Linked DNA regions of Oryzias latipes. The protein of the gene in region 4 interacts with the protein of the main gene of each other region in a biochemical or structural test. Links are inferred from orthologs where the notes say so. Each region holds a gene or a part of one and is shown on either strand. Other genes may lie near its edges.

Region 1 (7,626 bases), on a different chromosome or scaffold from region 4:
AACATTTTTAGAAAAATGCAGCACCGTTTTAGATTGTCTGGAGTTTATTTAGGGGAAAAAAGAAAAAAGCTCTACAAAGAGCTAACCCGAGTGATGGAACGTTGGCAAAGATGTCTGCGACCTTCCCGACTTTGAGGAAGACGGCGAGCAGAATAAACGAGAAACCGTTTTTAAAAGGTTTAAAGATCTCGGTTTCCTCAGAAAAACACACAAACGTCAAATCCAGCTGCAGCGATTGGATAAAAACTAGCCTTTTTGTTTGTTTACGGACTAAAAGATAACCTTCACATCCTAAAGCAGAGATCTGGGCATTGAAACCCTGTCCTTTATGGACCAAAAGTAGTTTGCTCCTCTTAAATAAGCCCTTCCTCTGGACCGGAGAGTTAACAGCAGTATAGTCGTCCTTCCTCACTCATCACAACAGCCGTGGATTGTACACAGCCTATTGCAGGGTTAGCCACGCCCACCGAACCTCTGATAATCTATTTAAAGCCCCTCCAGGCCCTTCCTGTCCTTTCATAAAAATATTCACAAAGTATTTACACTCGATGTTCTCGGATTTGTGCCTTTGATCGCAGGTTTGATGCGTCGATGTAACCCTGAAGATTTACCCAGAAAGCACTTGTGCATCGCTGAAGATTGTCCCACTGCGAGATTGTTCGGACGAGCCCAAATCGAGCACTTTGACCCTTTCCGTCTTCGCCATACGGAGATAAAAGACGCCCCCGTTCATCCGCAGGAGGAGGAGTTTTCACTTCTATCTCCTCTGACGGCCGGATGTCGGCGCCTTTTTTTTCTCCGCCTGCAGTAGATTGCTTATATTTGATGATAATTTCATTGTATACGCTGATGTGTCAAATGTCTAAATTCTCAGTCAAGTGGGCTTTTTTTTTTTTTAAAAAACATCACAGTCAAATACAAAGAAAGACAAAAATGTTTTAAAAGAAATGAGCGAGTTCAAAGATGGAGACCCGTTCAGCCCGGTCTTAGTGTTCCCATTCCTCTCGTATTTGAGTGGGTCGACCCCTCCTCTTGTGTAGATGCCCCCGTGGTTTCTGTCCTCCTCCGAGTCCTTCATCACAACAGTCTTCCTCTCCATCCTTACTCAGTGCGGTGGCTCTCGTGGTGGCTGTACTCTCCTTCCGCCTCCGGGTGGCTGAAGAGGTAGTTCCACCAGCTCGTGGAGTGGAGCATCTGTTTGGCCGCCCCAGTGCTCCTCACCTTCCTCATCTCCTGCACAAGGCAGATGTCACGTTCAAATCCGGGAAGCGACTCTCGTCTGCCGCCCCGCCCCCTCGCCACCCGCTCTTACCCCTTTATCCAGCAGGCTGTCAAACTCGTCGCTCATCCGTCGGAGCTGCTGACCGTACTTTTTGGCGGCCCACAGAGCCGGAGGGGCCGACTTGGATCTGCCCCTGAAGGCCAACCCATCAGTGGGGGTTCCGGCCTCGTCTTCCCGCGCGAGGTCCTCATCTCTGGAGTACGTGGAAGCGGTGGACTCTGAATTCAGCCTGGTACGCCCGTTACCTTTATGACAGGTAAGGACAAAATGTTAACGAACGTTGAAAAAGTACGGGTAACCTGGGAGACCTGAAGACAGAGGAAACACCCCTTCAAGGGTTCTGCTGTGTCTGAATTGCCACTTATGAGGGGAATCTACAATCCCAAAATGCATTGGGAGTTAGGCAGCAGTGAGGGAATTCGGCCTCATTTTCCCCTTTTTATGTTGCCTGTTAGTTTATAAAAAATGTAAAAAATAAAGTTTTGGTCAAATATAATGATGCTGCGCCATGAAACGTACGAGCTAAAAACATAAGGAAAATAACAATCAGACAAATAGTATCTGATGCCACGTTTGCCACGTCCCGTGAGGCTCCACTGATTCGTGCGCAAACACAGACAACCCGGTTCTGTTCCATTTTAAATCATTTCAAAAACTGTTAAATAGTGACTTTTTCTGCAGTTACTAGTCACTTTGTTGATTGTAGGCTACAGCTGCAGATGCTGACGGCTCCATCCTCAGAAGACTCCAACCAGAGGCCGTTGAACCCTTTAACGCCGCTGCTTTAGCTCTTTCGACGACCGTAATTCATTAAGCAGTCGCACAATTGACGTCACTTCAGCTGTTTCCGATGCATAGAAAAGCAGCCGTGCGAAACTTTACAGTAGTGAGCTGCTGATCGGTGCAAAGCTGCCTTTTTCTGCGTCAGAATCCGCAGTTTGAGCTGAATCGTGTGGACAGTCCAGAGAGTCTCACTGTCGACAGTTTCCATGCAGCAGCAGCTTCCAAAACAAAACAAGTCAAACTCTTTCTACTCAACTTGAGATTTAACGTTTTTGGGGTCGTGATCCCACTCTGTTACGCGGCTCATCTATCGCTGTCTCACTGTTTCGTGGATCTTTGTAGTGCAATTCAGTATGTGTATTGTTTTATACAGCACACTGCGTTCTGATTGGCTGTAGACCTTGTGGATCTCATTTGTGCCACAGTTACATCTTTGTTTTCATTCTATAATATTGGACTTATTTTCTACGAAGGCTTGAGATTTGAGAGTTAAAAAAAAGAGAGAAAAGTCTGGATATGAAAAGAATCAAACTTTATCGATATTTAGAATGTAACTCCATGATAAACAAGAAAACACTGTACTGACTGCACACAATCTCTGATTGTGTTCACATTTAGGTGAGACAGTGATTACCTTACCACTAGGAAAAGTTTTGTTCCCTTTTTGTTCTTCCAGCAGGTATTAGTTTCTCCTTCAGCGTCTATTTCTTTTTGTGTCATCTAAATGGCACTACAATTTAAACTGCATATTTATATTTCATAAATATAAAAAAAACAACAACAACGCTTTATTAAAGACAATGTTTATCCTTGAGAAAATTATCCATCCCCTATCAATGACAGCTTTTTCTATATGGGGTCCTAACAAAAACTGAAGTACAAGCCATTCACTGTATAGTGAGGAAATACCGTCCATCCAGCTCCAATGAAACAAAGTCAATGTCGTCGCCAAAATGTTGGCAATGCGTGGGACAATGTTAGTAAACTCTGATTGGTCTGAGTCAAAGTTTCTATGGAAACCACTCACCAATCAGGAGAGAGCTTGTTAAAGGTCTACAGCCCTATCATTTGGGAGAATCAGTCAGTGAAATGTTTGACATGAAACCACATGCTTTTATTGAGGCATCTGAAGGCTCAGATTATAACTGAAATAATTTGCACTATAGAAAAAAATATAATTATTAAAAAAAAGGATCATATAGAGTCAGCAATAGTTGATTATTTCGCAATAGAAGTCTATAAGACTTTGTCTTCTTGGAGCCAGCAGGGATTTCCTGTTTGGAACGTGAGGTGGGAGGGGTCGCTCAGTCCAGTTCTTGCATACAGTGACCCTATAAAACAGCTAACCGCTCCACCTCAGGATCCCAAAAAATCCGAATCCTGCTGCCTTAAGACTGGAATTTTCTCAAACAACTCTTAAAAGTGCTTCTCATTTCCCATAATGCTTTTGGTCTGCTTACTTGTGAGTCGAAGCTCTGGCAGGGTGAGGGAATGTCGATCATGAAGGTGCTCCCCTTCTCCTCCTGCTGCCGCTCCCAGGTCAAGTTTTCCTCCCTCTACCTCCTCGGATGACTCCGAATCGTCTGAGATGGTGAACTTTGCTGCCATCGTAACATCTGCAGAAAAAAAGGTGTTTTGAGGACACGTTGTTCCAATAATTCACTACCAGAGAAGCTTGATGATCATTTTAAACGAAGACCATCACAAATCAAATACTATTTTTCTTTCACATTTGAAGCCGAAATGAAATAGAAATTGAGCTAGGCCCAACTTTCCACTCCTAGAGTCATAAAATGTCTATTAGCTAAATGAATTATGTGTCTACCTGTAACACACCCAGCTGCCTATCAGTGGTTGAGTCCAAAGGTATTAAAAAAATAACAACTCCACGAGATAAGGACACAACTTTGACAGCACGCGCTTCGTTAAGATGTTATAACGTACTTTGTTTTTCGTAGTTCAACGCGCTCGCGAGCTGTGCTCTTCGTCGACACACTGCCTCGTTTGTTTTGTGTTGTTGTTGACCGAAGAGCAAGAGGACAAAAGAAACTTCATACAGGGCGGAAGCGGTCCCCTCCACCTTCCGCGCAGCTAAAGAGAACCTCCTGGAAGTAGTTTTTCTCACCCGAAATCTCTGCGGCGTCCGCTCCGGAGGTGGGAAAGAGTCTCCGAAGTTAGCTTCGAGCGGCAGAAACTGCTTGTTGTTAATGTTTTGGTGTTCTCTGCCCGCGGCACATTACACCCCTGCTCCGCTTTCGCCCAATCGCCGCGCGCCCCTGCACTTTCGCAGCGCGCTGACGTCACTGTTGCGAGCTAGGACTTGTTTGTCTGGTCTGGTTACCGTAATGACCAGAGAAGAAGCGCAGAACCAAAAAGCTCCTCATTTTCACCCCTCCCCCTTTTTTTCTGCCAAAACTCACGACGTCACAAGTTGAGTGCTGGCACTACTCGAGTCGCAGATTCTGTCTTCGGAGAGGAATAAAACAGGGGTGTACTGTCTCTGTATACCTGTTTCTTCTGGTTGCACACGTTTTCTGCAGATAAATAAAATTGAGAATATTGATGGGATTTCTATTGCTGGTAAAAACATTCTTGTAAGTCAACTGGCAGATGAATCATTATTCTTAAACTCCTCACAGGTTTCTTCAAGTTATAGAAACATTTTCAAAAGCATCAGGACCTATCTAAACCTAAAGAAATGTGAGTTATTTCCTCTTAAACAATGTGCTCTAACATCCATAAATAGTATAGTAGTCAAAGAAAAAGTCACATATTTGGGATTGCAGATAACTAAAGAACAAAAACAAAGAGAACTGAATAACTATAATCCTATGATTGCAAAAGCACAAAATAAGTTTAATCGCTGGCTACAAAAAGGTCACGTCCTCTTAGCAAAAGCAGAAGGAATTTCCAGACTAGTCTACATTGTTTCCTCACTATCTCTGGACAGTTGTTTCACTTTCGGCTTGTCCCATCAGGGGTCGCCACAGCGAATCAGCCACTTCACAGTGGAAGATTCGCATGGTAGTCTTGGCAATGTTTTACGCCGGATGCCCTTCCTGACGCAACCCTCTCAAAGCAACCGGGCTTGGGACAGGTACAGAAGTAGAGAAGGGAAGAGGGTAAAAATGCAAAAAGGATTGATCAGATACTTTTTAACTTCCTTTGGAGAAATAGAATCCACTATGTACGATAATCAGTAGTAATTAATTCATCAAAAGACGGAGGACTTGACTTTCTTAACTTTTCCATTCTAAGTAATGTCATCAAAATGAAATGGTTAAAAAAACTTCTTAAAAAGTGAAACCTCATTTTAGAATTTCATATAAAAATACATATTTGATAAGCTTGGAGGTCTGCCATTTATTTTATTATGTAATTTAATAATGGAAAAAAATCCTTTAAAACTGTCTAATTTTCATAAGCAGGTTTTATTGGCATAGACTTTGATCTACAAACATAATTTTTCTACTCAGCGCTACTATATTTGGAACAATGCAGATATTCTATACAAAAACAAGAGTATTTGTCTTGAAAATTAGTTTGAAAAGAACATTTCTCTTGTGACACAGCTGATTAATCCACAAGGTAACCTGATGTCATACATTGAGTTTCTGTCCACCAATAGTCTGCATGTTTCACCTGCAGAGTTTGCATTGGTTACTGGAGCCATTCCAGGGGGTGTTAGACTTCTGTGTAGCAGTTCTCCTTCAAATACTCCATTTTCTCCTCCCAAATTAACAGAATTGTGGTGTTTTTCAGCTGGCAGGAATAATCAAAGTATCCGTTCTCTGTTTTAAAATGAGATTGCGACAAAACCGCATGTTATCTCATACTGGAATAGGTTTGGCTGTAGAATGCAGTGGGAAAAGTTTTCCATGCCCCAAAATGTTATCACCAATGAAATTAAAGAAATTTCTTTTAAAATTCTTCATAAATTTTATCCAGTGAAACATTTCTTTACTAAATTTAGAAAAGATCGGGACATAAACTGTTCATTTTGTCATTTCTCACCAGAAACTGTGCCTCATCTTTTTTGGTATTGCTCCTTCACTCAAGTATTTTGGAAAGATTTGATACATTTTATAAGAACTCATCTATGTGAAGATTATAGATTATTCTATGAGCATATTATTTTTGGATATTTTACACAAGGGGGATTAAATGCAGAGAAAATATATGTAGTCAATTTACTTATACTAAATATTTTATACACATGTGTAAATATGCTAACAAAACCCAGTATTTTATGTTTTCCAGAAAGAAATGGTACTGTATGTAAACAGAATCAAATCCTCCACTAACAAAAAAGCTGTTAGAACAGTTGAAACATAGTGCCTTTGAAACTTTAACAGATTCCTTTGCCTTTATTATTTTTTTTTATTTTTACTTAACCTGTTTCACATTGTTATTATTATGGTTTTTTGAATTTTTGTTCATTTTCCTGGCAAACGTGAAAATTGTTTTTTGAACACAGTGTGGAGTTTTGTATTTGGTATATTGTATGTGCAATATTTGTTAATAATTTTTTTTTTTTTTTAAAACTCACGTCACTTTGGCTAGCACTGAACCCTCATAAAACCATTAACTTAAAATTAACTACCGGTATGTAATAAAAACGTAATTACAACGACATACTTTTCATTTCTTCATGTAGAACAGAAAATAAGCTAAATACATTTTTACCCAACTTTCTGCGAATTTCATATTAAAAGACTATGAAACATTCTGTACCAGCTAGCTTGACATAGTTAGCATGACTCATGAATCTTGTAGTGCATCTAGATATTGAACTCCTTGAAAACAACCAGTTCTGGGCATATAAGGTAGACACGGATATTTATATATATTAAATATACATATTTAATTTACAGTTGACATTTTAGAAATGAGCTAGAAAGTGTCACAAAAGGGTCCCACAGATTTTTAATTGCTTTTGACATAATTTAGCCCATAAAATTTAGAAAATCGTACTCACCGTTTTTAGAAAGTGTTGCAAGACGCAAATAATTGACAAGAGCCTGTGGGCGGCGGAAATTTTAACAGAGGCCACATTTGGCCTATGGGCCAGACTTTGGACATGCCTGGTTTAGACACATTAGCAGAAACAAGTAAACTGTTTTTTTTAATTTAATATATTTTTTTCTATTGACATTATAACACAATGAAACAAACAATCTCTTACAGAGGATATTACCCTTGTACGGGTTGGACAAAAGTTAGAACAATTTGAAACTAGAGGTCAATAAACAAACAAAGTTCTTAGTACTAAGACTTGTGCGGCACACAAACTTAAGAAGATCTCTGAAGACAAATGAACCAGAGTTTTTTCCATTATCAAATTCTTGAGATGTTTGTAAACCTGTAAGACCTGTTTCTTCTCCCAGCGATAAGATTGTTTGATGAAAACTGGTATTGTGCAGTCCAAGATACCAACCACCTGAATGAGACCATGTGACCATGCAGAACAAGGGGAGTAAAACTTGTTGTCCACCTTTCGGCATATCCCATCAGGGCTTCCACAGCGAATCAGCTTTCCATGATTCGCATTGGCAGAGATT
Region 2 (7,878 bases), on a different chromosome or scaffold from region 4:
AGCCAAAAGAGGAAGCTGCACTTGACCCAAGGTGCTGGTGCAGCAAGAGTCTCTGCTCCGCCTCATGAAAAAAAGAACAATGGAAAAATGTTCGATGGAATAAATTAATAACAAAAAGACTTCCAAATTAGATGAGCCAATATTCTATTCAGCCTCCCAACCGTGCCCCCCCCCCCCTCAACACAGGAACACACACCAGTAAATGTCAATGAGTGCACATGAGAACTTGACTGAGACTGTGATTTCACCCATAGAAAAAGGTTTATTTCCTGCTCCAGTGAAATGACGCCAATTCAGTTACCTTTTTTTGCTATATGGACGTCGCCATGTTGGAACCAGTCATCAGAAAATATTGTGAAAAAAAAAATGGATTAGCAAGATGTTTAAAAAAAAGGTAACAGAGCAAGACTAGTTATTTTGACAAGTAGTATGACTGAGTAGCTGTTTATTTTTCTATAGAAACCTATGGGATTTTGGGTTCTTTGAACCAGAGGGTACTTCCTGTTTGGAATTTTAGGGGGTCACTCAGTCCAGTTCTCTTCTACATTCAATGGTAAAGGTTGAAAGTGGTAGTCGTGCCTGGGCACCGGCGTTTAAAAGAGTGAGTGAGGCCACAGGTGGCGAGCAATTAACCCACTGAATCTGGTGTGTCTTTCAATGAAAATTTCCCCAAAAAAAAAAACCAACAAACCCAAATCTCGAGAAAGACAAATCCTAAAGTCCGGCGATTTATAATTGTCAATAATAGAAAAAGAGATGTAATGCCACAGTAGTATGCTCGTCCTATCTGAGACAGAGACAAGTCCTGTCTTCGCAGAGGTGAAAACATTTGTGTAGGTGTTCTGTTATAAATAAAATATTGGCTCATGTAATTTGCAAACACACATTTTATATATATAATTCATTTCAAATTTTAAAGGCTCTGTATCATGCAAAATCTTTTGTTTTGAGCTTTTAGGTGTAATATATTATCTCATATATGGATATAGTTCACTCTGAAAGGCTTAAGAAAAGCATGATATAGGCCCTGGAAGAAACATCCCAATATTTCTCTTATTTGGGCTGTAATTAGAGCAATGTCTGTTTACAAAGACCACTAATGACAGATGGTCTTTAAACCACAGTAAACCTTAATGTTGTATTTCAAAACACTCAAATCACTCTGCTTATCGTGTAAAAACCACAAATGCACTGCAAATAAAATGTTTTTTATTTTATTCCACATTGAACTATGGCAAAATATCATCTCAGTATGTAAAAACAAAACCCCACAACAATTCTCCACACTGTAGAATACAGCTCAGTTGGAGCTTTAAAAACCATTCACAAACAGGATCTTTGAGTAAGACTGGATAATAAACAGAATATTAGCTGCTCAAAAACAATTCATGATACATGAATGATACCAGTGATCAATTCTGAAGGTTTCACCTATGGCTGGCTTCCTGCTGGCTCATATATAGGGCTGCACAACACCAAGAAAACATGCAATTTACTTCGTCTGAGCTGAAAAACAACTCAAACTAATACTCTGTCACTCATATTTGTTAGTAACATACACTTTAGACAGTGCATAACCTTAATGGACACTGAACTGAAATGTGAATTGGTTGAGATAATGATACTGATGTCAATAAAGGGATACTGTGCAGCCCTAGCTCAGTCAACAAAGAGGAAGTTTTTAAAAATGCTTTAACCCTTGTGCTATCCTATGGGGTCAAGATGACCATTGACGTGTTCTCCCTACCATGACAAAGGTGGATAAAGGTGGAGACGATTTCATGTAATCCATGGAAACCAGTGAAGATCACAAATCATTGAAGGAAAAAGTTCAGCGCACTGTCTAGTGGGGTCTAGATGACCCAACTCCCTATGTCAAAGTGCCTAGGATAGCACAAGGGTTATACAGAGCTTTGATGAAGATTTTTTCAATACTCGAGCAGCAGATCTGGCAACGATGGGGGGTATTTCCATAATTTGCCCATTGTTGCATGTAAACACTCACTATTTGGTCCATGAGCTGGCCAATCTTTTTCCATCTGAAGACAACACACTTTCCCAGAAAGTCAATAAGGAAGAGCATTTGTGGCTCTAGGTGTGTATTTAACTATTCATTCACTTTGTGATTCAGAAGTGCTCTCCTTAACGCTGCAGAATCCCTTAGGATTATTATTATTCTGTTAAAACTCTTAAAGTTTTACAGGTATTGTGCAGTGTGAGCACCAAGTCCATTGTCTTTGGCATCCAGATAAACTACTCATGTTTTTTTCACAGTTGGTCTCTTTGCATCTGGAACTCAAAACGGCAGAGTTTCCATAAAGATCTTCTCCACGATTGGTGGGGGAGGAACCAGATCTTCTAGTTTGAGGTAAAAGATGCGCTGGAAACCTTGCGTGCACAGAGTCCTGAGCTCGGGCAACTTGCCGAGAAGTCTAGACAGATAATTGGGCCGTAAGGACTCTGAACCACAGCTAGTCACATGGTCTTTCAGGCAGGTGATGAGCTGGTTCTGTAAATCCTCCACCCGTTTGGGCTCCTTCAGGCCATGTCGATCTGTTGAAAAAAGCAAGACACTGTCAAATCTCATTTTACAAAATAAACACAAATAAAAGTACTTTCCACCTCTGAGTTTATCTCATTTGTGTGCACACTGTTGTATACTGTTTTTGTACAAACACAAAGGTCACTTAGCTAACCTCTCAAAGTGCTGTTACCTTACAAGCCTTGAGTCAAAAATAAAACCTTCACTCTGTTTCTGTTTAGGTCTCCTATGCCATCTTTACTGTGCTGTACGTGAAGTTATGCTGCTCTTTGTCATGCACCTGTCACATCGGTCTCTCATGGTTATGCTGTTTAGTGTCCCTGACAAAGAAACACGTGCACACTTTTTTGACTATAGCTAGTGTTAGTGCAGAGAAGCCTGAGACCAACAAACATCTCACCTGTGATGAGGATCAGGGCTGCAAGGCAGGAGAAGGAGGAGACATCCAACTTCATGCGATGAAGGCTTTGAGAAAACTCCAGGATGGAGTCGATCCATTCCCCAAAGCCCCGGACACACTGTGTTTTATGCAGGACAGCTCCGTTGCAGAAGATGAGCTTCTCCATTTTAGGATTGGACCTTTATAAATGGTAAAAAAGTATGTGTTGTTGTTTTTTTTTCAAACATTAAGAGATAAACAGAACAGAAACCAGAGGAGAATGGCACACACCGATAGGCAAGACGCAGGATAAAGAGTTCAACGAATGCAGATTCCACCAGCAGTTCCTGATCCTCCAAGCAGAAGTCAGAGAAACCTGGGATGTCCTTCGCCCACTTTCTGATAACCTCTAAAGAAGCCGTGAGGAGGTCGTAAAACTGCTTTATGTCACTCACGTCTTCCTTCTGGTTCGCGCTGACTTCCTTCTCGAGGTACTAAGAGAACATAAAACAAATGGGAGTTTAGCTTTATTCAAAGTATACAAAAACAGAACTACAAAAAAAGAGGAACCCTGCTTTGGCTTACCTTAGAGTAATCCAGATTTCCAACAGCAGGGTTTGAGTCAATGTGGGCCCTGACCAGCGACGCAATCATGCTCACTGGGGATACAATGGGAGTGGCATCTTTGACACCTTTAGGCTTCGATGGTAAGCGACCCCTCCGTCCTTTCAGGCTATCCGTTCTAACAACTGTAGAAAAAGGTGACATCAAGTGTTAGTCTCAAATTATTCATCTTCCCTGAATCTCTCTTCTCTATATTTGCTATGAAAGCAGACTCTTGTTTAAGGAAAAGAACAGTCCAATTGAACATTTTAAAGCTTGATGTAGAATCTATCATGTTTCATTTATGCTTGATATTAATGTTGCCATTAGCTTTAGAGTTGTTATTTTCAATAATATGATAGTACAATGAGGTATTGTACTTTGCATACCTTCTCTGACCATTCCCACTGCCAGACACTTCTGGAAGCGACAGAACTGGCATCGATTTCTCCTCCTCTTGTCCACAGGGCAGTCTTTGTTGGCAAGGCAGACATACTTGGAATTTTTCTGAACTGTGCGCTGTGAAAAAGAAAACAGTAGAGGAATTAGTTATTTTACCTTTTAAATTGCTATGTTTCTATGAAGCGACTAAGCCACTATGGACTGGTTTGTCTTTTCTTACCTTGAAAAAACCCTTGCATCCCTCACAGGTGCGGACCCCATAGTGCTGACAGGAGGCATTGTCTCCACAAACAGCGCAGCCGCCCTCACTTCCACTTTTCAGCTTGGGCGATAGACTTCCATCCCGCTGTTCAGCACTGTCGAGACAAAGGGCCTGTTCCATCCCCATAGCGGGAAACTGCATCGCAGATGGGTGAGGTTGAGATGCGGCAAAGGGTTCCTGCTCTCGGAAAAGTGCCTGACCCAAATGAGACATGTCCTCCACAGAACCTGAGCCAAACATGAAAAAAGATGGAGTATGTGGCCCTGAGGTGTCCTCAGTCATCCAGTATCCTTGACCAGGGGAATATGGCCCAAAAGCTGAATCCCAGTTAGACACATTCTGACTCTGGAACCCAGGAGTCGAAGGAGAAGAGGCGGACGCGGGGCTGCCAAAGTAATCCGAGCCACTGGGAGACACAGCCTCATCTGGGTAACTCAGAGTGAACGCTCCAGGGTAGCAGCCATAAACTTGGAGCTCGTCCAGCTTGAAGGGGCTTTCCTGGCCTGACGCTGAAGGTACATGGGCAGGGGTTGTAGTGAACTGGCATGAGTACGCATCAAAAGATCCCGTAGGTGTGCCCACCAAGGAGCCGATGCTTGGCAGGGACGGAGTAGAGTGGTGCTCCAGGGAGCCACTCATGTCAACGGCCAGCCTGGAGAGAAAGTCTGCATTCTGAAGCTCAGAGCTGCTGAAACTGCTCTCAGTGGGCTGACGTCCATGTCGGGGGTGTACGCAAGTCATGACTGTGAGACTGAGAGAGAAATGAACATGTTAGCTTGGATTTTAGGTCTTCAATGAGCTTTCAAGAACAAGCTTCCACTCCAGAGTGAAATGTTATACATAATGTATACACACAGCTCAGTGGAGCAGCTTATTGTCAATCCTTAAGATCCTGATTCAATTCCTGTGTCTACCAATGGAGCATCAGTATTTGGCTTTTCAAACTTCAATTTATACAAATGTTTTACTGATATATCAAATAAAAAAACCAAGAGTACCATAATTACTGCTGCTGTCATCTTTGTATTGAAAGTATTGTTTATCACAACCCTTTGACACAGTATCTCTGTAATTTAAGTGAATATTTTTAACTTGAATTTTCATGTTTCTTCCCTGTCAACCTCCATTTATAAGAAAATCCTAGAAAGTCGTGCTTGTTTGTTGGAGCAGTCATCAAATCCCACTTTATCATTTCTCATTTCCTAGTAATTATAGTAACGCCTGAAAAGTGCAGCGGGGTTGACTTTCACTCTGGAGTACACTGCCAAAACACGCATGTGCAAAATTAAACCAGCAGACTACTAACTTCAGAAGACTTCATCGACTTTTTAAACACGTGAAGCGATTTCAAAAAACATTAAACCGCATATGTGCGTGCAGCTGTAAAAGTCAGATGATTTGTTTTCCGTTCAAAAATAAAAATAAAGCAGTTCAAATAAACACTATAGGATTGATTTACTAAGATGCTTCTTACCTGTCTAGTCCGTTAAAGTATTTTTGTGAATTTTCTCCACTTTACGAGCGACCGTCTCTCATGATCAGCGTCTCCCAGCTGACAGGTTCTCCGTCCGGCTCCTCTGGTCCTCCCCGCCTCTCTTATACTTTTGCTCTAGCGTAGCACTGTCCATGACGTCATTTTCCATGCGTGTCAAATGAGTGGGCGGGAGATTTCCATGGTGCAGCCAATCACAGCACCTTTCGAGAGAACAGCGCTTTTGTGACGCACTACGGGATTCCGTTGACGCTCGTACGCCCAGAACCGCAGCTTTGTCCGACTTGACAGACACGTGCGCACGGGCGCGCGCTACTGATATCTAGGTAAAACAGAGTAGATCTGAATAAAAGTGGGAGGTTCTATTTAGCAAGTGTTTATTAACATTGAGCAAATGGAAATACAGGGATCTAACCCCTTTAATAACAATAACTCAGTTACTTAAAAAAACGCCTAAGTTTGGGTCAATTCAATTGCAAGTAAAAGCAAGAATAGAAAGCCCTGTACAAAACATTTAAGAAATTGTTCCCTCACATTAACAATTACCATATTATGCACACAATGTAGCATTCTGTAACCACAATGTAGCATTTTGTAACCACAATTTGACATTATATGGGCACAAGAACATTTTATTAGCGTTTTGTAGCCACACAAATTAAAGTTTTGTGTGCCACAAATTAGCATTTTTTTGAGCACTTAATTAGCATTTTTGTTGCCACAAATGAGTATTTAATGCTACAAATTATTAGTGGGTATTGATACAAAAATACTAATTTGTGTGGACAAAAGGCTCAGTTCACTGTGCTAAAAAAAAAGCTAATTTCTGTCCACGAAAAATGAATTCATGCTCACAGAATAATAAACTGTTGCGACATTGCAGAGATAAACATTTTATATGGGGGAGGGGGCGACTTTAGAAGTGTGACAAATGAGAACACGGGCAAAAGAACATATCTTAAACAGTTTCCTTATTCTTACTGTTGTTAATATTAAAACAGCAGTTCTTTTAGCTGAGGTGCCATTAATAAAGCCTAAAGAATCTTTTAGGATTTCTTAATATTTGTCAACAATGATACTTATATTGAGTCAAGGATTTGGGGGGGGGGGCAAGGCTTTCTGCTGTAGGGCGTACCTGACCTCCTAAGCTCCAACCCTGCCCAAATTATTATTTTGAGGGAACAATTCTTTTTTTAGGCTCAGTACAAGAACAATCTAAATAGCCATGTCAATACTGCATAGCTTCAAACATCAAAATAACGTTAAAGTGTTGAAGCAAAAGAACCCCGACAGGATCAATAGGTTATCATTGCTGCTGTTGCAGGTTTCTGTTTGAACTAGCCTGTGCTTGCTGGATTTCAGGTTTAAGTGGCCGAATCATTTTTGGCTTCCTAGCAAACAGTAAAGGGCAGGGGGGTTGACTTTCATCCATGGCAAACGCCCCCTCTTAAATCACAAATGCTAAACAACATTTAAAACGTCTTCAGAATTTACACCCACATGCACCAAAGTTGTGGAGTTTGGGTTGTCCTGGCATTCACAAATGAACATACTGCAAATTTAGGGTAGAAACCTCTTCACGATGAGAAAGGGGCAAGCAGTGAGTCACAGCTGTGGCCTCCAGAGATGTGATTAAGGCCCTTAGACCTGATTATGTGCTGCTGTGTTTTGTGGTTTTATTTTGTAGCCTCCGGCATTAATTTGCCATCTCTTTCTCAGCATTCCGTGGGGTTCAGTTTTGTACCTGCTTTCTCGGGTTTCATCAAGTGTCTGTGAACCCTTTCCCAGCATGTCAGGGAGGACGCACTCACGTTACTTGAATGCAAACTCATGGTTACACAAACACATGCAGCAAGCTGAAAATATATTTAGGGAAATGCTGGTTATTTAAATAAAGGGAACATTTGTGCTGTGTGTCAGTGTAATCCCTTTATATACTGGTGCTTGATGTCAGCTCAAAGTCACTTAAACCTGCTGCTCCAGCTGTGTCTGCTCCATGACAAACACTTAAGCCACTTACTTGAATCTGTGCTGGAAACTTGTCTCGCAGTTATATTTTCCTCTGTGGATCTGTGATGACATGCAAGCACTGGGCCTCCCTACACCACACTGACTGATTTCACTCGTTATCTGATCAATATAATCAGAAACAGTGTCTTCCTGCCATTCACAACAGTAACTGTGACATCCGCTAGATC
Region 3 (7,731 bases), on a different chromosome or scaffold from region 4:
GCGACTGATTTGGCTGAAACGCCATCCTCTCCGACCAGAAGCTCCATCCGTTTCCTTCTCCCTCGTAGCTCGGAGTCGTCACTCTCTGTCCACTGAGGGAGCTCAGTTTCTGGCCGCTATGACGACAGACAACGCCACGCCGCCGATGGCTACAGCGGTGGCGCCAAAGAGCCACTTCCAGCTGAGACCCTGCAGGTGGAAAAAGGACAGGAGGCACTTTGAGGACCCAGGGGTGATCCAAACCCTTTCAGATTCCTTTGTCCTCCCGGGATGGAGCCCTCACCCATGAAGACTTGGCCTGAGGCTTCGGCACGGAGCCGGGGGAGGAGGGGTTTCCCAGCATCTTCTTGTACATGGCCTGCTCTGCTCCTCTCTGCTCCGAGTGTTTCTTCACCAGTTTGGAGAGCTCTGCATGGATGGTCTGGAAACACAAGAACACATTTCAGAGCCACACCTGGGCTCCCAAAACATCTGAAACCATGATGCAACAAAAAGACAAAACTGTTCACTGTGGCGCCTTTAAAAAAAACACTATTTTAGCTTTTTGGACCATGACCAACCTAATCAGGCCCACATTGAGCAGTTATTCCAGGAGACGGGCCGGATTATTGCAGTTCAAGAGTGCTCCTCAGAAACCACCAAGCAAAGCAGCAGAGAATACCAGTAGAGCCAAAGCTCTGCAGGACTGAAAACCATCACGCAGAGATAACATGTGATAGGAATTTCATGCCTGCAGACCAGTCCACCCAGAGGCTTCTGGGAGAACGACAACTTGTACTGCAGTTTTTGGATCCTTTAGAAACTTGTGGCTGCTGGAAAAAAAAACAACAGGCTAGCTGACGAAACCACGAAAAGTGTTGGAAGACTGCATAGTACTATTCTCGTCTCTGTAAGACCCACTGTGAAACTCTTGAAGTTCGCAGACGACAGAAGTCATTGGGCTCATCCGGGACGGTGATGAGACTGCATACAGAGGAGAAGTGGAGCGGCTAGTCCTCTGGGACAGCCAGAACCTCCTGGAGTTGAACCCACTTAAAACGGTGGAGATAACAGTGGAGTTCAGGAGGAACCCCTCCCCCTCACAATTCTCAACAGCACTGTACCCTCCACAGACTCACACAGGTTCCTAGGGACCACCACTCTGGAAAAAGGCTCAGCAGAGGTTGTTCTTCCTGCAACAACTCAAGAAGTTCAACCTGCCTCAGGAGCTGCTGACCATCTTCTACACTGCAATAATCCAATCTGTCCTGACCACATCCATCACGGTCGGGTTTGGATCAGGAACCAGACTTCAGAGAATCATCAGATCTACTGAGAGGATTATTGGTTCCACTCTTCCTCCATCAGGACCTGTACTGGTCCAGGGTCAGGAAGCGGGCTGGCAGAATTGCAGAGGACCCCTCTCATCCCGGACATTACCTTTTCAGCATTCTCCCGTCAGGGCGGCGTTTTAGGACAACGTGCACCAAAACCACTCGCCACAAGGACAGCTTCTTCCCCCGAGCTGTCACTCTAATGAACTCCTGACAACAGACCACTCAAGAACACGGAACAAAACCACAGAAACTGTCACACCAGAACTACTGCTACATTTTTACTGTTGCATTTATTTATTTAGTTATGTTTAAATATTCCTACGTCTACCTCATAGTACTTTATTTTTATCATTTATCCTCTCCTGTCTTACTCCTTTAAATTTTTTTCATATCTTTCTAGTTTGGGCGAGAGCACAAGACACCGAAGCCAAAGTCCTTGTACAGCACTGCACTTGGCCAATAAAGCTGATTCTGATTCTGAAATCCCGGTTTGCAGCAGATGCTGATGAGCCGTTTAAGGTCACGTGTCCTTAGAGCAGCAGGAGGCTCAACAGTTTCTGTCTGAACTTCCAGAAAGAAAACCTTCACCTTCAGCAAAAACTAACACTTTCATCCATTTCAGGAAATCTGCACCAACATGCATGCAGGTGTCCATGCAAAAGGTCACCTCAGGGATGTTGAGATAAAACATTTTCAGACACACAGCGTCTCTCAGAGGAGTAAACACCACAGATCAAACATCTCGTGTGTTGGCTGCTCCAGTCTGACAGATTGGAGTGGGACTACAGCGATGGTTCTGGGCCTCAGCTGGTCCAGGAAGCCTACACACTGGAACCGGCTGTGTCCATGTATGGCTGCAGAACCACATTTAACCAGTGCAGAAGCAGAAGCAAACACTGGCTTGGCATTAGCCCAGCCTTAGGGTGAACCTATTTTCAGCAGCAACATGAAAACAGATCTCCACATATGTTGACTCAGCAGACCACGTGGCCTGCTGCAACCCATAGTCTAGGTTGTGGCACCACCTACTGGCCAAATGTAAAAATGACAATCTGCCAAGAGAAAACAGTTCAATGACCTTGTTGCTGGGATCCAGCTTCAGTGCTTTCCTCAGGGTCTGAATAGCTTCTGTGTATTCACCTTTCAAAGAGAGAACCTAGAGGAAAGAACAACCATTTAGCAGACATTCAGCAGCAGCAAGAAGCTCCGGGACTGAGGCCAACCTTGCCCATGCGAAAAAGTGCCTTTATGTTGTCTGGCTGATGCTCAAGAGCTGAAACGCAAGACTTCAGAGCAGCATCGTAATGGTCCAGCTTCAGCTGAGAGGCGGCCATGTTGTTCAGACACTTCACTCTCACATCCAGCAGCTCGTCCTCCTCCTCCGGCCGGATGTCCACTGTCCCACAAAACACAACGACAATATCAAACTTCCTTCTTTTTATATGTATTATTATTATTATTTTGTATTGCTTCACATGTTTGAAATAAATCTCAATCTAAGATCAGAGCAAAAAAGCTAAAAAGATCCACTGAAGACTCATTCACATCTGCAGGGCTTTGATTTTCACGTCATTGTTTGGTTTAAAGTTGCAGTTACTGATCAGTCACCGCAAGATGATCAGGGGGAGGAGCTTTCATTGCCGGGAAAGCGGGACGGCGTCATGAAGGTCTCACCTTTGGAACTGGACTCTGCTATCTGCAGGGCGATGCTGTAGGAGTTGACTGCAAACGCATAGTCTCCACGCTGGTAATGGACGTTGCCCCTCTCTCGTTTACGACTGGCGAGGGCAATCTTTTCTGCGGGGGGCAGCAGCTCCACATCGGGGGCATCAGTGGCCTCCAGGAGTTCCACTTCCAAGGACAGCTGAGCGTTTGGAGGAACACGAGGTTCAAGACTGACACGAGAAAAAAAAAAACAGGCAGGTTTAGTGACTGAAGCAAAAACAGCAGCGCCCCCCCCCCCCAACAAAAAAAAAAGGATGGCATAGTCAGTCTGTTTCTGTGAATCTCCAGGGATCCATACAGTTTATTTCCCAGTGATTCCTTTCCTTTACCCCCATGTCAGGAAAAGACACAGATTCTCTTGAATTAAAGACAAATGTTTGCTTTTTAAGGTCTTATTGACCCAAGTTTATGTAAATGTGAGACATGTCAAGACTTTTTTGACCACGTGTGTCAAAAAGCCCCTCCCACTTACTAAACCACCTGTGAGTAAAATAAAAAGTATTTCATTTGGAGGCTCCTCAGACTCTGGGCTCTGCTACCATCTTTCTAAAGGATGGTTAAAATTCTCTATATCACCAATTTGCAGCGTTTGATGTAGAGTAGCTTATCTCCCACCTTCCTCTGTCTCCATATGCATATTTAGGATCTGACTGGATCAGAGCCTTTTCTCCCATTTCCATAAGCTGGACCGTCAGATCCAGAGCCTGGAAGAAAAGTGTTGACTGACGTTTGACCGGAGACAAATCCACAAAACAAGACCTGCAGACGTAATTTTGAGCGTTGGGGCTAACCCTGACATATATCACCACTAAGGGTTTACCTGGATAACATCACAATCTCCCAAAGTGAAGGAGAAGTTAGGTTGCTCCTCCACCAGAGTCCCATCGATCAGGCTAGCTTTAAGGTGGATCCGTACGTTCTGACCCTTCTGAGGCCGACTGGCTCGTCCCTTCCCGGGCGCCGTGACTTTTTTCTTCAGCTGGCCATTTCCTGCAGAGAGAGAACTGTTGGCTTGTCAAGAACTACCACCAAATGCTTGTTTGGAACTCACAACTACTTCCAGAACCTGTCAGATTCAAAAGACAAATGAAGAACTGTTCTCTCTTCCAAGAAACATCAGCGGGAAGAGGCCAAACAAGTGCCAGACTCACCCAACACATCCAACCACTCATCCAGCTGAGCCGGAGCCTCTGGTTCTTCATGTGGAGACCTCTTCGCCGTCTCATCTGAACTTTTCTCCATCCCACCTCCCGCATCTTCTAAAGGAGGAGGCTCCTCATCAAAGTCCTCTTCATCCACAACCTCGAAGTCTTCTCCGCTGTCCAGCAACGACGTTTGTCCGCTCTTTCTGGCAGAAGAAGAAGCGTTTTCGCGGCCGTCTGCAGCTTCCACGGTCTCCATTCTGGAGAAGACAGTCAAACTGAGGAAGCTCGTTTTCTGTTCGCTTATCTCTGAGCTTCACAGAAAAGCTCTTCAAACAGCAGAATCTGACGTTAACGTACCGACCAGGATATCCGTTACAGTTCCCCAACATTGCATGCAGACAGTTTTACTCCAAACTTCAGAAAACCTGACGTTTCCGTGGGTTTTTAAAAAGTAACGAGGTTTCTCGGTCAAAACCTACATGCTAATGCTAGCGTTAGCTGAAGGTGGCTGGGTTAGCTAGCTATGAGCCAGCGGCTTAGCTTATTTGCATCCATCAAACTAAGAGTTTTTAGTGACACTGACATTTTGACAAAACGAAGTCGTCGATTAGAATCACTTCCAAACGAAGGAACACACACAGAAAAGTTCTTAAAATTGTAAATTAGAACGCGAACATTCACCTCCAGCCTTGTTTTGGTCCAACAGCCGCGTCCCGATCCTTCAAGCTCACGCAGGAAGTTAGACTGCGAATAGAAAAGTCTAGAGCGCACGGCGCCAACGGGAAGGGCCACAGTGGACACTCAGGCTGACTTCGTCACAGCGGTAGATCCTCGCGCATGCGCAGCAGCACTCTGCATCGCTTTAATGTTTCAAGAAGCTTTTCTCTGCTTTCAGATTAAAAGCCCCCTTAATGGTTCCATTAAAAAACACCCTGTGCTCACTCATGAAACGACGGAGAACATCCTTCACCACGAAAACGCGAACCTTTTAGAGCAGAAAGATCTGTTATGCTTTAGATCCTGATGTCACACAGTTCCAATCATTATTAAACATTTGATGAACCGAAGAACCAGACAAGTTCGCCCAAATAAGTTTCAAAGATAGAAAAACACAATAAATAATGTACTTAAACATTGTTACTAGTTAAAAACAAAAATTTGAAATGAATAAAGGAGTTTTACTGATAAATGTGTTTCACTGATTGAAGGGTGGTAAAAGAATCAGTGGCTGGCACAGAACTTTTACTTTGAAAAACAGAGAACTGCTTGTTGGTCAGTCCTGTAAATTCTTTCAGATGGTGGTGAAATGTAAAATCTCTGATGTCTTCATGTTTTCTGGTTCCTGTGAAAAAGAAGCAGCTGCATTCTGGACTGTAAACTATAAAACACATTTCAACTGATTTTGGTGTCACATAAATCCAAATGTGACCAAAGAATAGCGAAAGATGAAAACGCAAGTTTAGTCATCAAAGCTGTGAGTGATTCTTCCTGGATTTCCTCACACATTTTTACTTTTAAAGCTTAAACGATCTCTGTGTTGTTTCTGCCTCCGATGTGCTGCCGATTGGACATTTTTTAACAAGAATGTCCGGGAAACTTTGCTTATTAGCAGTTTTCACTTTAAGCAAAGGAAGAACTCGGAAGTATTTTTGGTGTCATGAGCCCAAAAGACATTTCTTTACTTCACTCTAGACCACATGTGTCAAACTTAAGGCCCAGGGGGCAAATGTGGCCTACCATGTCATTTTTTGTGGGCCGCGAGAGCATAAAAGTTTTTAGTTTTTTAGAATAAAAATACAAATTGGTTTGTATTTATTCATATCTTGGGGGAATCTGAAAATATCTGATTGGGCAACTATCCATTAGGACTTAAACACTGCCAATATAACCTAACCTGTCAGAATCAAATGTAAAAGGATTTATGCTAGAGTACCATGCAAACACATGTTTTCTATGCCGCTGTAATTGTCACTTTAAAAAGTTATAATAAATAACTAATGAGTTATTTAACATTAAAGAGTATGTACATTTATTTTTCATTACATTTAGTTACATGTATGAGTTATAGCTGGCCCCAGGACAGCCGGCACGCTGATGTGGCCCTCGCTGAAAATCAGTTTGATGCCCCTGCTTTGGACAAAGTGATCTTCTGTAAAAACATCAGCTCCTATGATTCAAGCTAACAAACTTGTATCTAAGTGGTATAAATACCCATGACTGATGTGTTCTTTCTCTAATTAAGGAATAAAACAGCTGTGTCGAGTGGAACACACCCTGCTTTCATCAAAAAGTTCCTGGTTTTAAACAGGATCTTCATGTCAGGATTTAGGAAAAGATTCAAACAGCAGAGAAAAATCAGATGATATTTATTATTGATGCATTGTTCCTGTTTGATAAGCAAATCGTTTTTTTCTTTCCGCTTAAAGAAACTTTACAATATAAAGAAACATACAAAGAACATCTTTGATACACAAGACACCTAAAACCCTAAGACAAGATTCTGGACTATCCTACCATGACATACAAAGCAAACCCAGGAAATAGACTGCTTCATATCAGAGAGGACCATGGACAGCTCCTCCTAATGGTACATTATTTTACACCACGATAGAAGTACAGAGATGGCCAAAGATCAACTTACGGCGACAGGACCAACCGGCGAGCTTCCCCAGAACTCTTACATCCAGATCTTCATTTAAAATAACATTTGTAAAAGATTTTTAAAATATCTTTTTTCTTCTAAAAGTTTTTTTTCCATGATAAAAATCCTTCATATTAAAAACTGTAATATGAGGTGACCCACGTTTGTGAGGAGATGCCCTTCAGGGAAAGAAATCTAGACTTTTCTTAAAAATTATTTTAAAAACAGCCGTCACACTAGGCGCACAGTGAGGACGCCACAGCCGGCCCGCCCCCGTCCCACCCCCCTCTCCACACAAGTCTTCATCCGTCTGCTGTACATTCAGCCAATTTAGCCTCATGACCCAAATGTTTCTTCATGGAAAACATTTATACTCTACTTCCCGCTGGACTCACCGGTTGTGACGGACATGAAAACATGTCAATGATATCAAAATGCATTTTACAGTATTTACACCAGGAGAAAAAGGGGCGGGGCTTCAGGAGGAACTGGAGGTCAGAAAGGGGGTTGCCGGAGGGATTCCCCATCAGTAAATCCTGCAGGTGTCCCTGTCGACGGTAGGTTCACATTGATATCAGGAAGCTCGCGTGTGGATCAAGCACACAAAGAGGCTACAGCTGCTGTCTGCTGACGGTTTGCTTCATTCACCAGAAGGAGCAACAGATAAGGCCAAGAGAAAAACCAGGACTTTGTCTTCACCTGGTCTGCAGATTTCACCGCCGTCAATGTAAAGTCAAAATGAACAAACATCCTCGACATTCCGACGTAAAGCCTTTCACGTGGAATCGGTGGATGGAAGGAGCATCACTGAGAGGGGGATCTAACCTTCCACGCGGGAAATTCACATGTGACAAAGCGAAACGAAGCTCCAGGAAGGTCCATCAGCTCAGGAGAGGCAGGACGA
Region 4 (7,888 bases):
TTACTGATTTAAAAAGTTATATTTCAATTTAAGATGTAATATTCTGACATTTCACATGCAGTGAAAGGATGTGTTTGCTTTTCTGTAACCGAACAAATCCCAGAGGAAGAGAGAAGCCATTCCGTCAAAATCTGGTAAAAAACAAACAACAAATCACCAAACTTTTTGTTTTTTTTCCTCTTTATCGCAGCTTTAAAGGAAAGCGGGTTCTTTGAGCTGACATCACCGAATGAGGAGAAAAACCCAGCATAACTGTGTTTTAACTGCACAAGTTTAGTTCCTTTTCTGTCCATTTATAAAACCAGAAAATGAGCTTTTAAATCAGCTGGGTTGATTTACAAATTCACACACTTTGATAAGAAATTCCATTCAGAAATGGTTTAGACTTGCAGGTTCAAGTCTTGTTTTTCTTAGTCTGGTCTACTGAGGGCGCTAGAGATGAGCTTTACATTGAGACCAAAATGTCACTGGGATCAATCTATGTGGTCTTCTTCTCTGAAGGTTTTGAGCTGCTGTCAAAAGTAGCAGGAAATTTGAAAATTCCTTAAACAATTCCTTTTTTATTTACCATGAAATCTGTCTACAGTTTTTCATTTCCAGTTAGAATCAGTAAAAACGACTCTCGCAAGTCTCCCTTTGGTTTAGTAAAACTGAGAGAATGTACTTGAATGCAAAGCACACCACACAGAAATAGTATTTTTTCGAAAACACTAATGTTTGAAAATTCAAAATCTTGAAGATGTCAGGAGAAAAAAATGCATTTAACCTAAGACTTCTGGATGCCATTTCTTCTTCGTTCAAAGTCCTTAAAGATGGTGGAGCAGGTCACATTCTAAGCCTTAAACTCACAAAAGCTTTGGGTGTGAAACTGTTAACAGAACAGTGCCAGCTGACGTGGATTTTTTTCATGTGAAATTCGATGTATTTTATTTGTATGGCGACGTGATCCTTCCTTAATTCCAAGAAATGAGAGTGAGAATGAATGACTCGTGTTTTGATGATGTTCTCATTTGATATTGGTGAAGGCCAATCGTTTCTGCGCTTGATCATTGTTCATGGTTCATTTGTTTTCAGGTTTGAAGTAGCAGCCAACAGTTTAAAGATGTAGCTCATGGAAAGAAAAGCTGTTTTGGTTTGAGCACCTTTAAGCTATGCAACTTTAGCTTAGAATTAGCTTTGGGGAAAGAAAAAGAAAAACCCTTCTGCAGCCGTTCTATCGTTTTCCCCGTTTTGTGTTTTGGATTCATTCCTAGAAAGTTTTAAAAAGGTTGAACATCCCATTGCACTCATTTGTTTGATTCCTTACTTTTTTTTTTTTAAATAATTCTGCCTAAAAAAATGCCACCTTCACCTTCTGTGCCATTCAAAGAATATTTGAAATGTGAGATGTTTTGTCATATTTTCTTACATGAGAAAAACAATAAACACCTGTAAGAAAAATATTTTGTTTTGGACGAGTTTTTGTCAAAAACAAAGAATTTGGGGTGTTTGTGTGTCTCCCTAAGGCAGGCATGTCCAAAGTCCGGACTATGACTTTGGACATTTATTTATTCTTTTTTTTATTTCACCTTTATTTAACCAGGAAATGTCCCATTGAGATTAAGAATCTCTTTTTCAAGGGAGTCCTGGCTAGGAGGAAACAAAAAGTTACATTTACAATAAAAATATAAACATTTAAAACATAAAATTAATAAAAAAATAACAGCTTATGTAAAACAGGTGCAGTTAAAAGTGACGTTCTCCTCCGTTCTCAGCCTGTACATGTCAAATTTCCACCAGTGCCAAATCAATATTATGCGACCTCCACCACTTTCTAAGAACGCCGTGTATGATTTCTTGATTGTGATTGGTTAAATTAGGTCATAAGAAGCAACAACCTGTGGCTACTTGACCTTCAGAGGCTTAAGGGCCAGACGTGAGGAACAGTTTGTTTCTGTCATCCAAACCACAATGGTTTGTACTTCTGAAAAGTATAACTATATAACTATTTGTTATTTTCCTGTTCAGGTCATTTAAATGTAAAAGTTTAGTCAGCATCATGAACAATATGAAACATATAAACAACAGGTTTAATAATGTATTTTTCATACAGACACTTTCTTTTATGTCTGGTCTTCAAATATGAATTTCACAGTAATTTGGGTTGAAATGTATTTAGATTTATTTCTTTAATAAGTGAAGAAATGGTTAATCCCATTGTTTTCTTTAAATTGTTCATTGGATTTAATGTTAAAGTTTGGACACCCCTGATTTAAGGAGATTTTGGGAATGATGGCAAAAAAGCTTTTCCCAAAACTTTAAGAAAATTGATAAGAAAAGCAGATTATAGATGGAACCAAAGGAAATGTCAGGAATCCAGCAAAGCACAAAAAGTAAGTCTGCATTGATACATGAATCTTTGCAACAGTTATAAAGAGTTTGAAAGCCTGTCCCATTTAAATGTTGCCACATTTTTGAGAAACAAGCATTTTTTTTTTGTTTTTTTCAAAAGAAATGTTTCCAAAAAGAACATATTTCTGCAGTTTTTGATAAATTAAATATAGGGAATGAATTAAAAGTCAATTTTACAATTGATATAAACACAAATGTCCTGACTTTTTGTCATTTGTTCTGCTCTGTTGGATTTTCCTCCACAAGGGGGTGATTGAACCTCATGGACAACTAGCAGGAGGTTTCTCCCTACGTCTTTTACGATTAGATGATTTATGTTTTAGTTGGACCACAAAGACCTTTAAAAAAATATCCGTGAGAATAGGCGCCTGTGATTGATGAGGTGCGTTAGTTTTAGCGCGCTCTGAGGATCTGAGCGGAACCACGGGTTCACTGACGTCAGGGATACCTCACCAGCAGAGCCTGGCTGCGCTGCGCTGCGCGTGAGGAGGAAGAGGAGGAGGAGGCGGATTTCGGGAGCAGTCGTGATCGGACCTTGTCCGACTTACTTGTTCCGTGGCTCTGCGAAACCAGCGGTTTCGTTTTGGCGCGCAGAAGTTTGCCTTTCATTCATTTTTTTTCGCCACGCACGGGGATGCGCGCGGAATTGGAACAACATTACTGCCTCTTCCGCGTTTTTGGATTTATTTGGAAAGAAAATTTCGACAGTTTTCCCCTGCAAAGGTTCGAAAAAAGATGAAGATTGCTGCTGATTCGGACCCGGGATTTCTCTGACTTCCACTAGCGCGTCTGCGCAGTTCCGTTCAGGGGGTTTCCACCGTTTACCAAGTATTTGCGCTGCGTGGGATAATTAGTTGCAGATCTCAACCTAGTTTTTTTTTATTTTGGGGGGGGGGAGACGCTTGTTCTGTGCGTCATGAGCGGCACGATGTGGATGAAAATGCAGATTATTTAGTGGGATCAGTGACTGTCCACTGTGCCAAATTACGCAGGAATGGCGAACGTGTCTAATCGCAGTATTGTAGAAAAGTACATCTGCCACAAACTCTCCAAGAGGGGCTACGTGTGTGGGCTGAACGGCGGCCAGCGCGAGAATGCTGCCAATAACGGCTCGGTTGGGGACCATTCCCCGACTCCGGTCCGCCGCCGCTGCGACGCAGGAACGGGGCCTGACGAGGAGAGCAGCCCCCGCCTCATCAGAGCGCTCTCCCGGGCGGACCCGCTCGCGGACATCCACAGGGTCCTGCGCGAGGCGGGAGACGAGCTGGAGCGGCTGTACCAGCGGGACTTCACGGAGATGTCGCGGCAGCTGTACCTCACCTCCACCACGGCGAAGACGAGGTTCGCCGAGGTGATTGACGAACTGTTCCGGGACGGCGTGAACTGGGGCCGGATTATCGCGTTCTTCGAGTTCGGGGGCACGGTGTGCGTGGAGTGCGCGTCCAACGAGGAGATGAGCACGCAGGTGGCCAGCATCGCCGAGTGGATGACGGAGTATTTAAACGGACCTCTCAACAGCTGGATTGAAGAAAACGGGGGATGGGTAGGTTCGACTCCGCGCTTTGCAGCTGTGCGCCATGGGGGGGGGCAAAGGTCCTCTTTGGACCCAACTCCATTGATGTAAAGTGTTGATTTCATGACACACAACCTTCATATTTGACTAATCACCAATGCTGGGCTCTGATTTGTCTTTCTGCAATGAAAAAATACACGTGAAGTCTTGGAAAAATCTGCTCTGGATGTGCTCAAAGTGACGCACGACTGCGCAAGCTTTCAGGATGGACAACCCCCCCGGTGAGCCGCTCCGATTGGACGAAGGCGTTGGCTGTTAAAGTCATGTGTCCAATCGGAGCACAGGTGTTGTGTCACACCTCCGCGCTCTGATTAAAAGTCCCGCCCTGTTAGCAGAGCAGAAATGTGGAGGCAGACAGATGTATTGGAAGTGCCCCCTTAAACACTTCACTTTAGTAAAGTCGAAGATATTATCAAAACATTTGCTAGAAAACAGACAGAATATCGCACTCTTTTCTTTTAAAATAGATCTTTTTGCTGGAAATATGTTTAAAACTGCTTTTTTTGATGTGCAGATTAGGATTATTTGGCAAAAAAAGAGCAGTTTATAGGTTTGAATATCCAAAAACTTCATTTAAGTTGCTTCAATTCTAAATAACAACACCCAAGTAGAAGTAAAAGGTATTATTGAAACATTCATTCAAGTAAGAAGAAGAAAGAAACTCAAAGCCTGAGTACCATTTTAAATACATTTGATTTATAGTTAAAATATTTAGCATCAGATATAAATATCTTCTTGCACGGTGGTGCTGTGGTTAGCACTTTGGCCTCACAGCAAGGAGGTTTGAATCCCAACTGGGACATTGCTGTACGTTGTAGGTTCTCCTCATGCATGCAAGGGTTTTCTCTGGGCACATAATCCATTCATAGTTTAATTGCTGGCTCTAAATTGCCCTTAGGTGTGCATGTAAGTATGTATGTGGCCCTGCAAAATACTGGCGAGCTGTTCAGGGTCACTAACAGCAGTGTTGTGACCCCAAAGAGGGATTCAATGGGTCCTAAAGATGAATGGACGCCCCAGCATGAGTTGAAATGTATAATTCTTTACTTTTAAATACTTGTCCTGAGCTCTATTTTACATTTAATGTGAGTGCAGAAGATGTCGGCCCATAAATTAGCCTTTAATCAGCAGAGGGTTCTCATTACATTTATGCAGCATCTTAGCTGGAAGGTGTCATAATGGGATGTGCGTGCATGTTTGGAGAGGTAGGAGGGACATCAATGATTCATATGGAATCCTTCATCTCAAAGGATAGGACCGTTTAGCATTCCCCTTGAGTCTGACTTGCCCCCAGAGTTGGCAGCTCGTGCCACATATCAAAGGGAAGCAACAAAGGGAGGGCCCTGCAGGAACACAGAGTGCTAATCTAGAGCCACTGTGGTTAACATGCAGTCATCTGTTGAGCATGCAGGCTCGAATTCTGCGTCTGATTTTGCAGACTTGTGTTTTAAAGCTTGGAGGAGACTGGGCTGCATAGATGCTGGAACAAGCTCCCTGGAGCCTGTGGCCAGTGTGCTACAATGTAGGTCATCATAGTCTGTGTTTTACAGCTGGGTGGAGATGACTGCATCTCTGCATCCACTGGAGAGAATAAAAAGGGGAAAGCACAGGCCTGGTATACAAATGATCATTTTGGGGGTTTGCATAAGGGTGAATGTTTGATGGATTTCTGCTCTGGAGGAACCAAAAAACAAAAACTATTTTCAGCGAAGATGTTGATATTAATTCATTTGAATAGTTGTCGGGAAGGGAGTTCCCCCGATGAGCTGGTTTCCGTCATTACACGACGTTTAATAACTGAGACACCGCTATGGATTTGTTTTTGTTAACCTAGTCTAATTTTTGAATTTGAATCAAAGTTGCTTGAACGGTAGTTTTCTCAGGGGTGTGTGTGTGTGTGTGGGGGGGGGGGGTGTTACACTGTGAACTTTGCGTGAATGGTCGATCTCGGTCAGATTCCCCCCTGAGCTGTGGAATACCAAATCACGTTTTTGTCAATACTAGAATTTGAGTTTTCTCTGATTCAGTCAAAAAAAGTTCACTAAAAGCAATATTTTCTATTTACCTTAGATACAGTCTCTTTGATTAATTGTATGCTTGAAGGAAAATCTTTACTAAACAAAATATTTCACCAGTGAAAACCTGACCATGCAGAATGAAACTGACTTAACTTTCCTCTTGTTAGCTTTCTCTTACAATGGCTGTTGTTAACATGTCGGTTTGGACCCTCATCTGAGATTAGTTATAACATATACTTAAACTATTATTTATCTTCATTTTACCCATTTCTTGGTTAATCAGATTGGGTTTCCTTATCCAGGAAATTGTTAGTTTCAGTGCCTTCAGTCTTATCTATTTGACCTTTTGTCTCAAAAACCCATCAATTTCAATTTCAGAAAACATATAAAATGTTCCTCAAAATAGATCATTAAACAAAAGGTAGTTGTGTTACCGTCTGTCACTGATGGACATTGCAACACACCTCTTCAATAACTTGAGCTCACAGCTCTTCCCATGATGCAGTTTTTGGCCTGATTTTAAAGTTTGTGACCTCAGTGCACGGAAATAATCTGGAATCCAATCTGTTTTAATGTAAAAGCTTTGAGAGGGTAGTGGCCAAGCTTATGTGCTTACAGCTAATCTAAAGGTGGGATTGGCTGAGCATGTCCATTTATGGGGGGGGGGGGGGGGTCATTGACTGTACATGGAACTGGAACGAAAATGTCTTATTTCCAGCTTCAATGAAATTAAGTCAATTCAGTCGCCACTTTTCATGATATGGATGCCACCATGTTGGAGCCAGATAATGTCAGTAAGTCCGTAAGCAGTGATTGGTCAAAGTCGACAATTCTATGGCAATCACTCTTACCAATCAGAAGTGAGCTTGCTGGAGATCCACAACCCCACTTCTTAGAAGCGGGCTCTGGAGAATCTGTCAATCAAACACTTCAAACGTTTGATGTGAGACGACATGCTTCTATTGAGGCATTTCATTGGTCAGTTTATAACTTGAATAAATTGCACTACGAAAAAAAAACAACCTGAAAAGAATCATGATTATCAAGAACAAAAAGCACCAGAGGAAGATTAGTTATTCTAACAAATATAGTATAATGAAGTATAGCTGTTTATTTCTTTATAGAAGTCTATGGGACTTTGGCTTCTTGGAGGCGGTGGGTACTTCCTGTTTGGGCCACTTAGTCCACTTCTAATAAACAGTCAATGGTGGAAACCCATTTTCAAGGTGTTTTGGTTGCTTTCCCTTTTTTTAGATCACCCTTCTGACCAACAGTAGAGAAACTCTGTAAACGAGGTTTAATGTTCTCTTTTGACAGGTGGTACTTATGGTCACTTACACTGTCCATGGTGTTATTGTGTGACTCAGCTGAGTGTTGGCTTTTCCACAATACAAAACACCGGTGGGTACTAATCAAGGTATCACTGATGTATTTGATAACAGATCTCTATCATTTCTTCAGTCTCCACTTCCTGTTGTTTTTTAAGACAATTTGAGCCCAGAATAGCTTCACCCACTAATTGCTGTTGAGTCTACACATCATGGGTGACTCAAGTAGACATTCAGTTACACAAAACCTGCTCTCTGGAAGTCACAAAGCTCCTGTTGTGAATGCAAACCCCAGCTGAGGATGAAATGATTTCATCTTTGCTCTGATTACCTCTCTGCTCATTGGCCCCAATACTGCCGTCAAACCCTAACAGAAGCAGCAGCCGTCCGTTCAGCTGAGCAGCCTCACCCATACCTGTGTTTGTTTACACTCACTGGCACTAAATACAGTGTGATTGCAGAAAGACACAGCCAAGTGTCTGAGATATTAAATTACATGCTTGACCTGAGATGTTTTGACTGGCTGTGGGGGTGGCACACAGCAAAAGGTTCTCCAAGAAAAAAAAAAACAGCAAGTT

What was found.
Region 1: the proteins of bcl2 (region 4) and bad form a complex in vitro, tested with the Homo sapiens proteins (5 studies listed by BioGRID and IntAct, with this or other methods). The link is inferred for Oryzias latipes from reciprocal best matches to the Homo sapiens genes BCL2 and BAD.
Region 2: the proteins of bcl2 (region 4) and nr4a1 form a complex in vitro, tested with the Homo sapiens proteins (2 studies listed by BioGRID). The link is inferred for Oryzias latipes from reciprocal best matches to the Homo sapiens genes BCL2 and NR4A1.
Region 3: the proteins of bcl2 (region 4) and fkbp8 form a complex in vitro, tested with the Homo sapiens proteins (4 studies listed by BioGRID, with this or other methods). The link is inferred for Oryzias latipes from reciprocal best matches to the Homo sapiens genes BCL2 and FKBP8.

The regions. Positions count from the first base shown.
Region 1 is NC_019876.2:12,864,431-12,872,056, reverse strand, and holds the start of bad (bcl2-associated agonist of cell death), read right to left. Parts: upstream 4,185-7,626; 5' UTR 4,010-4,184; intron 3,682-4,009; 5' UTR 3,674-3,681; coding exon 3,526-3,673; intron 1,528-3,525; coding exon 1,313-1,527; intron 1,234-1,312; coding exon 1,102-1,233; 3' UTR 1-1,101. UniProt on the Homo sapiens protein: Promotes cell death. Successfully competes for the binding to Bcl-X(L), Bcl-2 and Bcl-W, thereby affecting the level of heterodimerization of these proteins with BAX. Can reverse the death repressor activity of Bcl-X(L), but not that of Bcl-2.
Region 2 is NC_019865.2:22,176,856-22,184,733, forward strand, and holds nr4a1 (nuclear receptor subfamily 4 group A member 1), read right to left. Parts: upstream 4,930-7,878; coding exon 4,147-4,929; intron 4,044-4,146; coding exon 3,914-4,043; intron 3,671-3,913; coding exon 3,507-3,670; intron 3,416-3,506; coding exon 3,213-3,415; intron 3,122-3,212; coding exon 2,943-3,121; intron 2,554-2,942; coding exon 2,297-2,553; 3' UTR 1,193-2,296; downstream 1-1,192. UniProt on the Homo sapiens protein: Orphan nuclear receptor. Binds the NGFI-B response element (NBRE) 5'-AAAGGTCA-3'. Binds 9-cis-retinoic acid outside of its ligand-binding (NR LBD) domain.
Region 3 is NC_019862.2:8,040,041-8,047,771, forward strand, and holds the start of fkbp8 (peptidyl-prolyl cis-trans isomerase FKBP8), read right to left. Parts: upstream 5,013-7,731; 5' UTR 4,576-5,012; coding exon 4,544-4,575; intron 4,444-4,543; coding exon 4,193-4,443; intron 4,032-4,192; coding exon 3,862-4,031; intron 3,746-3,861; coding exon 3,657-3,745; intron 3,212-3,656; coding exon 2,991-3,211; intron 2,713-2,990; coding exon 2,540-2,712; intron 2,473-2,539; coding exon 2,395-2,472; intron 422-2,394; coding exon 284-421; intron 190-283; coding exon 103-189; 3' UTR 1-102. UniProt on the Homo sapiens protein: Constitutively inactive PPiase, which becomes active when bound to calmodulin and calcium. Seems to act as a chaperone for BCL2, targets it to the mitochondria and modulates its phosphorylation state.
Region 4 is NC_019875.2:25,472,835-25,480,722, reverse strand, and holds the start of bcl2 (apoptosis regulator Bcl-2), read left to right. Parts: upstream 1-2,861; 5' UTR 2,862-3,385; coding exon 3,386-3,934; intron 3,935-7,888. UniProt on the Homo sapiens protein: Suppresses apoptosis in a variety of cell systems including factor-dependent lymphohematopoietic and neural cells. Regulates cell death by controlling the mitochondrial membrane permeability. Appears to function in a feedback loop system with caspases.